2 linked regions of the Macaca mulatta genome follow. The protein of the gene in region 1 purifies or fractionates together with the protein of each later gene. This does not show direct contact. Links are inferred from orthologs where the notes say so. Each region holds a gene or a part of one and is shown in the gene's direction. Other genes may lie near its edges.

The links.
Region 2: the proteins of PRMT8 (region 1) and EWSR1 purify together in Homo sapiens (affinity purification with mass spectrometry; 3 studies listed by BioGRID and IntAct, counting the BioPlex papers as one, with this or other methods). This does not show direct contact. The link is inferred for Macaca mulatta from reciprocal best matches to the Homo sapiens genes PRMT8 and EWSR1.

What each region holds. Positions count from the first base shown.
Region 1 is NC_133416.1:4,397,407-4,403,162, forward strand, and holds the start of PRMT8 (protein arginine N-methyltransferase 8), read left to right. Parts: upstream 1-2,189; 5' UTR 2,190-2,606; coding exon 2,607-2,681; intron 2,682-5,756. UniProt on the Homo sapiens protein: S-adenosyl-L-methionine-dependent and membrane-associated arginine methyltransferase that can both catalyze the formation of omega-N monomethylarginine (MMA) and asymmetrical dimethylarginine (aDMA) in proteins such as NIFK, myelin basic protein, histone H4, H2A and H2A/H2B dimer.
Region 2 is NC_133415.1:22,275,023-22,279,991, reverse strand, and holds part of EWSR1 (RNA-binding protein EWS), read left to right. Parts: intron 1-1,132; coding exon 1,133-1,319; intron 1,320-4,969. UniProt on the Homo sapiens protein: Binds to ssRNA containing the consensus sequence 5'-AGGUAA-3'. Might normally function as a transcriptional repressor. EWS-fusion-proteins (EFPS) may play a role in the tumorigenic process.

The sequences.
Region 1 (5,756 bases):
TCGCCAGGGGGCTAGAGTATCCACTTTCAAAACAGTTCCTTCCTGGACTCCAGCCTTTATGGAACCACCCTAGTGGCATAGGCTCCTCACTCCCAGCCCCAGGCTGGCTCTGGGTTGGATGGGTTGGGATAGAAAACTCTTGCCATGAGAATATAGCTCTTCATCTCAGCCTCTCCACTCCCCATTCCAAAGGGAGACGTGTCTGTGCTTGGGGAGAAGCCAAGCAAAGCAAAAGATTTCAACAGCGAAAGGAGGAAACACACCCACTGAGGTTCTCATAGCAACATAATCACGCACAGGCAGCAGCCTATTCCGGTGGGAGCTTGTTTCAGCTCCCCTCCTCCCTGGTTAGTCACAGAAGGGATGCACAAGCAGAAGCAGTGCCGGGTGGGGGCAGAGTGTCGGACTGAAAGTCAGGAGGCTGGGGAGCTGGGTCCTCGGCTTGCTGATGGACCATGGACAAATGTCCTCCTCTGTCCAATCTTGGGGTCCTTATTTGTAAAATGAGAGGATTGGACCACAGAGCGGTGAGAATCCCTTCTTTTCTGATTTCCTTTGATTGCACAAACACCGAGACACTTTTGGTAGGGGATTAGGTGTCTCTCAGAATCTTTTGTCTCTGAGAAGATGCCTAGAGAAAAAGGAATTCAATAGGGTAAAAGTCATCCTCCAGATTCACATCATTTATTTCCCTACCACTCTCTGCACGTTGGCAGGATGTGAACGGGAAGAACGACTGGGTGTTGTCAAGGACTCTGCGCACTCACCCCCAGCTCTAACCCAGGTCTGTGTTCTGAGAAGGGAAAAGGTTAAGGAGGTTAAGGCCGTATTTTTATTCAAGTTCTCACACACACACATGCACACACACACAGTCTCATTAACTCAAGCCGCTTGCTACATTTTCATCCTTCTCATTCTTCATCCTCTCCTCTATCCCTCACTTCTCACCTCTACTTAGTGCAATGTATCCTCTCTTTCCCCGAGGACCAGATGATGGAGGCATATTTCGTACTGAGAAAGATTCTAGCCCTTTTCTTCAATGGACTCGGGTTAGTTGAGGACAGTCAGGCTCACACTTCCCAGTTATCAAAGGTGATGATAAAAGCAAATAGGGCATTTGGGAGGGACCTCCCCAAACAAGTACAGAGATGACGTGAAGACAGCCGGGTGCTCAGGCAGCATCTTTTAGGTCTCAGTTCCTGACTTGTAGGCTGAAAGCTTAAAAGTGCAGCTGCTTTAAGGAGTCAGCCTGAGTGTCCTGCTGCAAAGGGAGAGGCAGAGTGGGGTCCCCCGCTTTTGTTCTATCTCCCACTGCCCGACAGATGGCCAGTAAGACAGAGAAAAAGCAGCTCTCAAAGTGAAGACAGGAATGCATTGTATAAAAATTCACACCCCCTGCTGCCGCCTAAACTCCCTTAAAAAAGGATCAAGAGAATCCTGATGGGTGCGTGACATCCTCCCTCTCTCCCATAAAAGGGACTTCAAAATCTGGCGATGGTGGGGGAAGGGTGAGGAGGGAGAAGAGAAATGCGTGGGCAGGGGGCTGCCAGGGAAGACTGGAGTTGGGGGGGCGGCGGGCACTGCAGTCTCGCATTTGACTTTCTCCCACCCTCTTTCCCAAGCCACCCTGGCCGCCACCTTTGCCCCTGCCTCTCAACCTGAAAGGGGCTTGGAGTCCCAAGGGCTTTGGGTACAGAGAATGGGAGAGAAGGATAAAGAATGACACCACACTTACCCCTAGAGTTGAAGGAGTTAAGGACCCTCCCCCATCCAGACACCCACCCTTTCATTCCCCAAACCATAATTCGCCAAGGAAGGATCCAGGAACTGGCAGAGGAGCGGGAGAGCTGGGGTGGGACGGGGTGGGGAGGGTGCGAGTTAACTGTGGCCCGGTCTCGCCCGGAGCTCGCCCTAGGTGGGAGCACGCGCACCGGGTCTGAGAACCTGCAAGAGCCTTGCCCGGCGCTTGCTTTCTCTGGGCCCCCAGCGCGGGCCTGGTCTCCGCTCAAGTTGTGCGCAGCGCCAGGGAGTGGAGGCGGCCAAGACCCTCGGAGACTAGGGGAGGGGGCGGGCCCGGGGGCGCTGGGGGCCCTCGGTCTGCGCCCAGCCGCCGCCTGCTCCACCGAACCTCCTACCCCGCCCCCACTCACCCGGCTCAGCCCCTAGGAGAGACGCGCAGGAAGCGTGTTGCTTCGCCCAGCGGATCGGCAGAAGTTGAGAGGAGTTGGCGGCTGCCTCTGGCCGGCCGGACTTTGCGAGCAGCCTGGAGAGGATCCGCGACCGCCGCCGCCGCCGCGGAGCCTTCAGGGCGGCTTCCCTCGCGCTTAGCCCGCAGCGCGGGTGGAGAGGGGCGGGGAGGGGGGTCGGGGGCACGAGAAGAACTTGAAACTGTGTGAAGGAATCCGGAGCAGATGAGAAAGGAGGAAAATAAAACAAAGTGGAGACTGCAGAACAGACTCCACTGTGGCTGACTGTGCCGGCTGACGCTCCAGCAGAGGGGCTGGGTTGGAATTTTTTCTCCCATTCTCTCGCTCTCTCTTTTAAAGCTACACCAGCTCTCTCTCTTTCTCTACTATCTCTGTATCACCAAATCCTTGCTGGCTCTTATGGGCATGAAACACTCCTCCCGCTGCCTGCTCCTAAGGAGGAAAATGGCGGAGAACGCGGCCGAGAACACCGAGGTAAGGAGGCGAGCGAGCAGGGGCTCTCGGAGACCCCGCCGCCCACCCGGACCACCGCGCCGCCGCCGCCGCCGCTCAGCACCGAGTGCCAAACTTTCCCCAGCTTCATCCCGCTTGCTTCTGCCGGCCTCCGTGTGTGTGTGTGTGTGTGTGTGTGTGTGTGTGTGTGTGCGCGCGCGTGTGTGTGTGTGTGTGTGTTGGTGGGGGGTGGGGGGGAAGTTCATGTCTCAGGTCCCCTCCCTCTTGAAAATGCAAAACAGTCACTCTCACCCCATCACCCTCTCCTGCCGCCCGCTGCTCCCTTCTCCTGCCCCCAAGTCCCAAACCCTGGGCAGCCGCGCTCCCCTGCCCTCTCCTTTGGGCTCCGTGAGGGCTCCCGGGTCCCGGCTTTGTGCAGAGCTGGGGTGGGTAATCCTGGGGCCAGGTCTGCTCCCTGCAGTGTCTTGACCATCTCCTGCCGCTGCCTCAGCTTTACCCTTCAAGCTCGAGTCGGTCCCCGAGCTCTCCGTCCCCGCAGCAGCGCGGAGAGCTCCCGGCCGCGGGGGCCGAGCCGGCGGGAGGGCTTGAGCACCTCCTACAGACCCTCCGGCCCAGATCTGGGCCAGAGAGAAGTCTGCAATCGTCAGATGTCAGAGCCGCCTCTGGGGCGCTTAACCCGGCAGGGCACACGGGCCGCGGCCACCTTCAGCACCAGGGACAGCGTCCGCCCCTGCCGCAGCCGAGCCTGCGCGGACTGTGGGGGCTGCGCGCCGCCGGCTGCAGTGAGAAACGGGTCTGCAGCCGCCCGTCCCGCAAGGGCTTTTGAGGAGGTCGCTGTAGCTCCGCAAATTGCGTTCTTGGCCCCCGCCTTCGGCGGCCTTTTTCTCTACTCTCCAGCTGGCCCTGAGCCGCAGAGAGCCCTGCTGGGCGTTGTGTCCCAAGACTCGAGGCTGTGATCCCTCGCCTCGCCCTGACCCCGCTGTCATTACAACAACCGGACTATTCCGTAGGCTCTGGGCACCTGTAGTCACGAAGGGGATCAGCGTGGGCAGGCCCCTTACCTTCCTGGAGAAACGGTGCGCCGAGGTGGGGGCGGAGTGGGGCATGTGTGTGAAGATCATCCCTTACTCAGTGGCAGGAAAAAGACACAGAGAGCAAACTCCCGGGCTCTATTAATAGCTGGGTGTCTGGTGGGGCTGCCGCACATTTCACATATGGTTACCCATATGCAGCGGGGGGCGGGGACGGGGGTGTGGCGCGGGGATTGTCCCTCTGTCTTGCCGGAATGCAAAAAGGTAGAGAGACCCTTCCTGGTCTTCTTCCCTTGAGGTCTTAACTCTGCTGCTAAAACCCCTGCCCCACCGCGTAGGCAGCAACGCTTTATCAATCCCCATCCTCTGAGAGGCTAGAAGCAGCATGCATCTGGCAATTGTCGGTTTCAAAACAAACACGCTCCGGGACTTGAAAGCAGTGGGGCATTCAGTAGCGAGTGCTGTCTCCTTGAGTTAGGGCAAAGCCTGCATGCCTGCCGTCCCCTCACCACTTCCTCTTCCCCAGCCCCCACCTGAGAGCAGACATTCGGAATGATGTGCAGTGCGAGGCGGCTAGCCTCCCAGAAGAAAGCCATCCTTACCAGTCCCCTCACCCTCCGCGCTCTGATCGCCCACCCGCCGAAAGGGTTTCTAAAAATAGCCCAGGGTTTCAAGGCCGCGCTTCTGTGAAATGTGGAGCGAGCGGGCACGTAGCGGTCTCTGCCAGGTGGCTGGAGCCCTGGAAGCGAGAAGGCGCTTCCTCCCTGCATTTCCACCTCACCCCACGCCCGGCTCATTTTTCTAAAAAAAAAAAGTTTTGGCTGGCCCCTTTGCCCCGTACCCCCGCTGCCACTTGGGGTCTGGGTGCAGACCCCTGCCAGGTTCCGCAGTGTGCAGCGCCGGCTGCTGCGTTCTTCCAACCTCGGCGAGGGTTAAAGGCGTCCGGAGCAGGCAGAGCGCCGCGCGCCAGGCTATTTTTACTTGCTTCCCCCGCCGCTCCGCGCTCCCCCTTCTCAGCAGTTGCACATGCCAGCTCTGCTCAAGGCATCAATGAAAACAGCAGTAGGGGCGGCCGGGCTCCTGCGAACAACAACAAAACAAACAAACAAAAAACCACGTCGCGTGCGGGCCACCAAGGCAGTGCGGGGAGGGACGCACCCAGCTGGGGCTCCTTGGAGGGGTGTGAGCCAGGTTGGCGGATCAGTTCTTAGCAACTTCCCTGCAGAAGGGGTAGAACCCAGACTTGGTCAAACGTGCCTAGCGGAGGCATCCAGGCAGCGTGACAATCACTTGGTTTCCCTCCAGGAACTGGCTGTTTTTGGAATAAGCCAGGACTAGAGCAGCACTTCCAAAAGTGGGGTGTTGTGGGCTTGCCTGCATTTATGGTGGATGAGAGCGGCAGGAGCACGCCTCCATGTGTGTCAGTGGGTGGTGCGGAGCGTGGTAGTGGTCCTAGTTCTGAATTGCACATCTCTTTATCAAGCGCCGGCTCTGTACCAGGAAAGCTAGGTACCCATGAGGACCACCTGGTCCCTGCTCTGGGGGGGCTCAGATGTCCACTCTCATGGACAACTATGATGGATAATCCTGTAGCCACCTTTTCCTTTTTGTTGTTTATCTCATTCCATCCTCACAACAAACCTGCGAGACAAGCAAAGATTAGTATTCATTTCTTATCCCCATTTTATAGTTGAGGACACCGAGGCTGAGGTCAAGCAGTAGCTGAAAGTCATCTGGTGGGTTAAGTCAGCCCTGAAACACAGATTGCCCCCACTTCTGATTCATTGCTGTTTGCCCTACCCTTGCTATTTCTAACAAGATGCCATGTGTGAATGGGAGTAGATGAGGAGTGGGCGGAGAGGAATACTTTGGAAGGGAGAGATGCAGTGATGGGGGTGGGCCAGGATGGGAGGAGGTATTCGTTCACAAGGTAAAGATACAGAGAGATACTCCAACCATTGGGCAGGAAGGGAGCAAGTGAAGAATAAAACTACTTACACTGTGACCAGAGCCTCCCTCCACAAAGTGAAGTAGCCAGCTAGGGCATGAGAGCATCAACTTCACA
Region 2 (4,969 bases), on another chromosome or scaffold:
CACCTCAGCATCCCAAAGTGTAAACCAAATTTCTTATTGCATGGCTTAATTGTACCCATTGACCTTGAGGAAGAAGAGCCCAGCACCGGGAATGGTTGTAACACTTCTTACAATAAAAGGGACTCTAGTTAGGAGCTACAGACTTTTGTGGTTTTGGTCATGCTCCACGCCCAGGTCCCAAAGGGAAAGGCATGGATCCTGCCTGGTCTGGTAGAGGCAGGAGCTAGGGAGAGAGTGCATCTTGCTTTGCAGCATACCTGTGAGAGCAGGTCTTTTCTGACACCTGGTTAGTGAAGTACTGAAGGGAAAGAGGGACTCTAGGGTTTACCTCCAATATTGCTGAGCAGGAAAAGGCCTTTTGCTTGTGGTAGGTAAGTAAGAGAGGAATGGAGCTGAGTAACTTGATAACCAGGCAGGAATCTGCTTTATGATGTGAAAATATTACCTTTTAAATGTTTGGAGCAGTATTGAAGTTTAATTTGAAATAATTAACCAAAAAAGTTTAACCTGTGTTAAGCAACTATAATTTATAGTTTATCTTTATTATTCATGTGCTTAAGTAATTGAGCTTGTTCTTCACGTGATGTAGTGCTTGGAACTAAAAGAAAGTGATTAATTACTACCCAAATTACAGGTTTTAGTATTAGAACTAGTACCTGGATCATTATTTTGTAATTATTTTAAAATGCTATGTCATTTGCCTTTTACCTTTTTTTCTGGGATATTTTTTTCCTGCTTGAGGGCATTTTGGGGCGTGTAAGTTTGTTCAGAAACTTGTTAAGAAGACCTGCTAGCAAAATTAGTACAGACTTGGCAAAAACAGACTTGTCTCCTATTCACAGCGTTCAAGAGGGGTCAGAAGGAACCCTGCTTTCTGTAGCATGACATGCCATTTCTCTTAGGTGTGGTTTTAGAGCAAATGAGACGGTTACTTTACCAAAAACTAGGTATATTCAGAGAACTTACGCTTTAAATAGTAGTTTGTTGCTACTATTGCTGAAGGGGGAATATTTAAAGGGATTCAATATCATGATGGTTTAAAAGTAAGTGGTTTACAAATTGTTGTGATAATGAGTGTGTAGGCAGATCTTTGAGGGGGCCTGAAATCTGATGCAGCTCTCCTTTGTTCTAGGTTATACTACTCCAACTGCCCCCCAGGCATACAGCCAGCCTGTCCAGGGGTATGGCACTGGTGCTTATGATACCACCACTGCTACAGTCACCACCACCCAGGCCTCCTATGCAGCTCAGTCTGCATATGGCACTCAGCCTGCTTATCCAGCCTATGGGCAGCAGCCAGCAGCCACTGCACCTACAAGGTAAGGCCACGGTCCCCTTAATGCGTCAGTCTCATGTTGGAGAGAAAGAAACCAACTACATACACTTAAAGGAATCTGTGGATTAGTTCCTTATTAATGGTTGCTTTCACATACTCTCAGATGTTCACTGTTGTTACATTATAGTAACTGATGTGATAGAACATACCACAGAAATATTCTGCATTTAACAGTGAAATTGGCTGGGCACAGTGGCTCATGCCTATAATCCCATCTCTTTGGGAGGCCAAGGCGGGTGGATCATATGAGATCAGTAGTTCAAAACCATCCTGGCCAACATGGTGAAACCCCGTCTCTACTAAAAATACAAAAAAATTGGCTGGGCATGGTGGCTCACGCCCGTAATCCCAGAACTTTGGGAGGCCGAGGCAGGGGGTTCACGAGGTCAGGAGATCGAGACCATCCTGGCTAACACGGTGAAACCCTGTCTGTACTAAAAAATACAAAAAATTAGCCAGGCATGGTGGCGGGCGCCTGTAGTCCCAGCTACTTGGGAGGCTGAGGCAGGAGAATGTCATGAACCCGGGAGGCGGAGCTTACGGTGAGCCAAGATTGCTCCACTGCACTCCAGCCTAGGCGACATAGCAAGACTCCGTCTCAAGAAAAACCAGAAAAATTAGCTGGGTGTAGAGGCGCATGCCTGTAATCCCAGCTACTGGGGAGGCTGAGCAGGAGAAGCACTGTAACCTGGGAGATAGAGGTTGCAGTGAGCCAAGATGGCGCCATTGTACTCCAGCCTGGGCGACAGAGCAAGACTCCATCTAAAAAAAAGGTGAAATGGTGCCATCCAAGGGCCAGCATGAGGAATGGCACTGAATAGGTTCTCTGGTTTCACAATGACCTTTTTGGGTAGGAGAAGGCTATTGTTTTAAAGAGTGTGTTTTCACTCAAAGCAGCATGACTGATAGAATTGTACTTTTGATGCTTTTATTTTTGGTTTCATTGACCTTGTAAATGGATAACCGCTTTCTCTTTGGGAAAAACATGGTAGTTCACACGGGCAGGAGGGGAAGGGGTGCATCACGTGAGCCAAGAAATGGTCGTATGACCTAATTGTCTGGAAAGAACATACCCATATTTGAGAAATAAAACATCACTGCCTCAGCTTAAGCAGTTGACATGATTTTCTCTACATTATGTAGAGGCTTAATAATCTAAATATAGGCAAATAAAAATTCTTAACTGGGTACCCTGCTGTAGGATGCACAGAGCTCATACCCCATGACTGGTTAGCAGGTAAACTGTTAATTATTACTTAACAAAAGATTTTAGGTCTTTGCTTCAGACAGTCACTTAGGTGGCTTCTGTATACAGTCTTGAAGGTACATTGAATTCTGGTTAGAAAGAAGACATTTTGGGGAATAAACAAGAAATCAACTTCTAACCTAGACTTACCTGCTCTAGGGGTAAGAAATTAGCTCTGACAAACACTCGTGAAATTACTTTTAAAATGCATAGTGAGTAATCAGAGCCACTTGATAATTTATACTTGGTAGGCAGCCTTTGCGGTAGCTAAGTTAAACTTAGTGGCTCATTCCTGGAAGGGCCTCATTTCGGAGTGTCATCAGACATATGAAGTCCCATTTGATGCTCTGATGCAACAGTGTATCCAAGCCATATCAGGAGGGTTTTATGTATGAATTGGGGTTTGATAAGGGACCTATTTCAGCTTGGGAAAAGTTAGTACTTCACACCCTCTCTGGTTTTCCTGGGTTTTTTTGTTGGTTGGTTGGTTGGTTTTTTTGAGATGGGGTCTAGCTCTGTTGTCCAGGCTGGAGTGCAGTGGCGAGTGCACCCACCTCCCAGGTTCAAGCTATTCTCCTGCCTCAGCTTCCTGAGTAGCTGGGACTATAGTCATGCACCACCATACCCGCCTAATTTTTGTATTAGTAGAGGCAAGGTTTCACTATGTTGGCCATGCTGGTCTCGAACTCCTGACCTCAAGTAATCTGCCTGCCTTGGCCTCCCAAAGTGCTGGGATTATAGGTGTGAGCCACAGCACCTGGCCTGGCCTGCCTGTTGATTCTTTGGGCTTTGCTTAAAATACTAATAGCTCTAACTCAGTCTGCTGCAGCTGTGATGTAAACTGTTAGGGCCAAGAGGTAATAGAAACCCCTGGAGTTTTCCTTGGAATTGAGATTAATTTTCATCATTTAACAGGGATACATACTTCCAGGTTCATCCGAGCAGGGAGTTGGGAGGGGTCTCTTTGCCTTACTCTGGTGTTTCCATTATGGAGACTTGGAGCCGAGTTAGATTAATTTATGCAGCTCCGTTTAGTAAATGATTTTTTCTGGTTGGTTGGTTGGTTTTTTGGGTTTTTGGTTTTTTTTTGTTTTTTGTTTTTTGTTTTTGAGACGGAGTCTCGCTGTGTCTCCCAGGCTGAAGTGCAGTGGCGTGATCTCGGCTCACTGCAAGCTCCGCCTCCCGGGTTCACGCCATTCTCCCGCCTCAGCCTCCCAAGTAGCTGAGACTACAGGCGCCCGCCACCACGCCCGGCTAGTTTTTTGTATTTTTAGTAGAGACGGGGTTTCACCATGTTAGCCAGGATAGTCTCGATCTCCTGACCTCGTGATCCACCCGCCTCGGCCTCCCAAAGTGCTGGGATTACAGGCTTGAGCCACCGCGCCCGGCCAGTTTTTTTTTTTTTTTAAAGACAGAGTTTCGCTGTTGTTGTCCAGGCTAGAGTGCAATGGCACAATCTCGGCTCACTGCAGCCTCCGCCTCTGGGGTTCAAGTGATTCTCCTGCCTCAGCGTCCTGAGTAGCTGGGATTACAGGCGCCCACCACCGCACCCAGCTATTTTTTGTAATTTTTTTTTTTTTTTTTAACCGAGTCTCGCTCTGGTGTGATCTTGGCTCACTGCAAGCTCTGCCTCCTGGGTTCACGCCATTCTTCTACCTTAGCCTCCCGAGTAGCTGGGACTACAGGCGCCTACCACCACAACCAGCTAATTTTTTGTATTTTTAGTAGAGACGGGGTTTCACCGTGTTGGCCAGGATGGTCTCGATCTCTTGACCTCGTGATCTGCCCGCCTCAGCCTCCCAGAGTTCTGAGATTACAGGTGTGAGCCAAGGCGACAGGCCAATTTTTTTGTGTTTCTAGTAGAGACAGGGTTTCTCCATGTTGGCCAGGCTGGTCTCGAACTCCTGGCATCGGGCAATCCACCTGCCTTGACCTCCCAAAGTGCTGGGATTACAGGCATGAGCCACCGCACCCGGCATCTTTTGAGATGGAGTCTCTCTGTCACCCAGGATGGAGTACACGATTAACAGCTCACTACAACCTTCACCTCCCATGCCCCAGCGGTCCTCCCACCTCAGCCTTCCAAGTAGCTGAGGCCACAGGCATATACCACCATACTTGGATAACATTTTTCTATTTCTGTAGAGGTGGGGTCTCCCTATATTACCCAGGCCAGTCTCAAACTCCTGGGCTCAAGCCATCCTCCTACCTTAGCCTCCCAAAGTGCTGGGATTACAGGTGTGAGCCACCATGTTTGGCCTGGTCTGTTTTTAATAAATAAGAATCATAAACCTGCAAATTCTCTAAATTTATGATGCCATGGACTTACGTAAATGTTACTCCAACCTAAAACTTACATTATTGTTAGTTTCTAGTCTTCAGCAGTC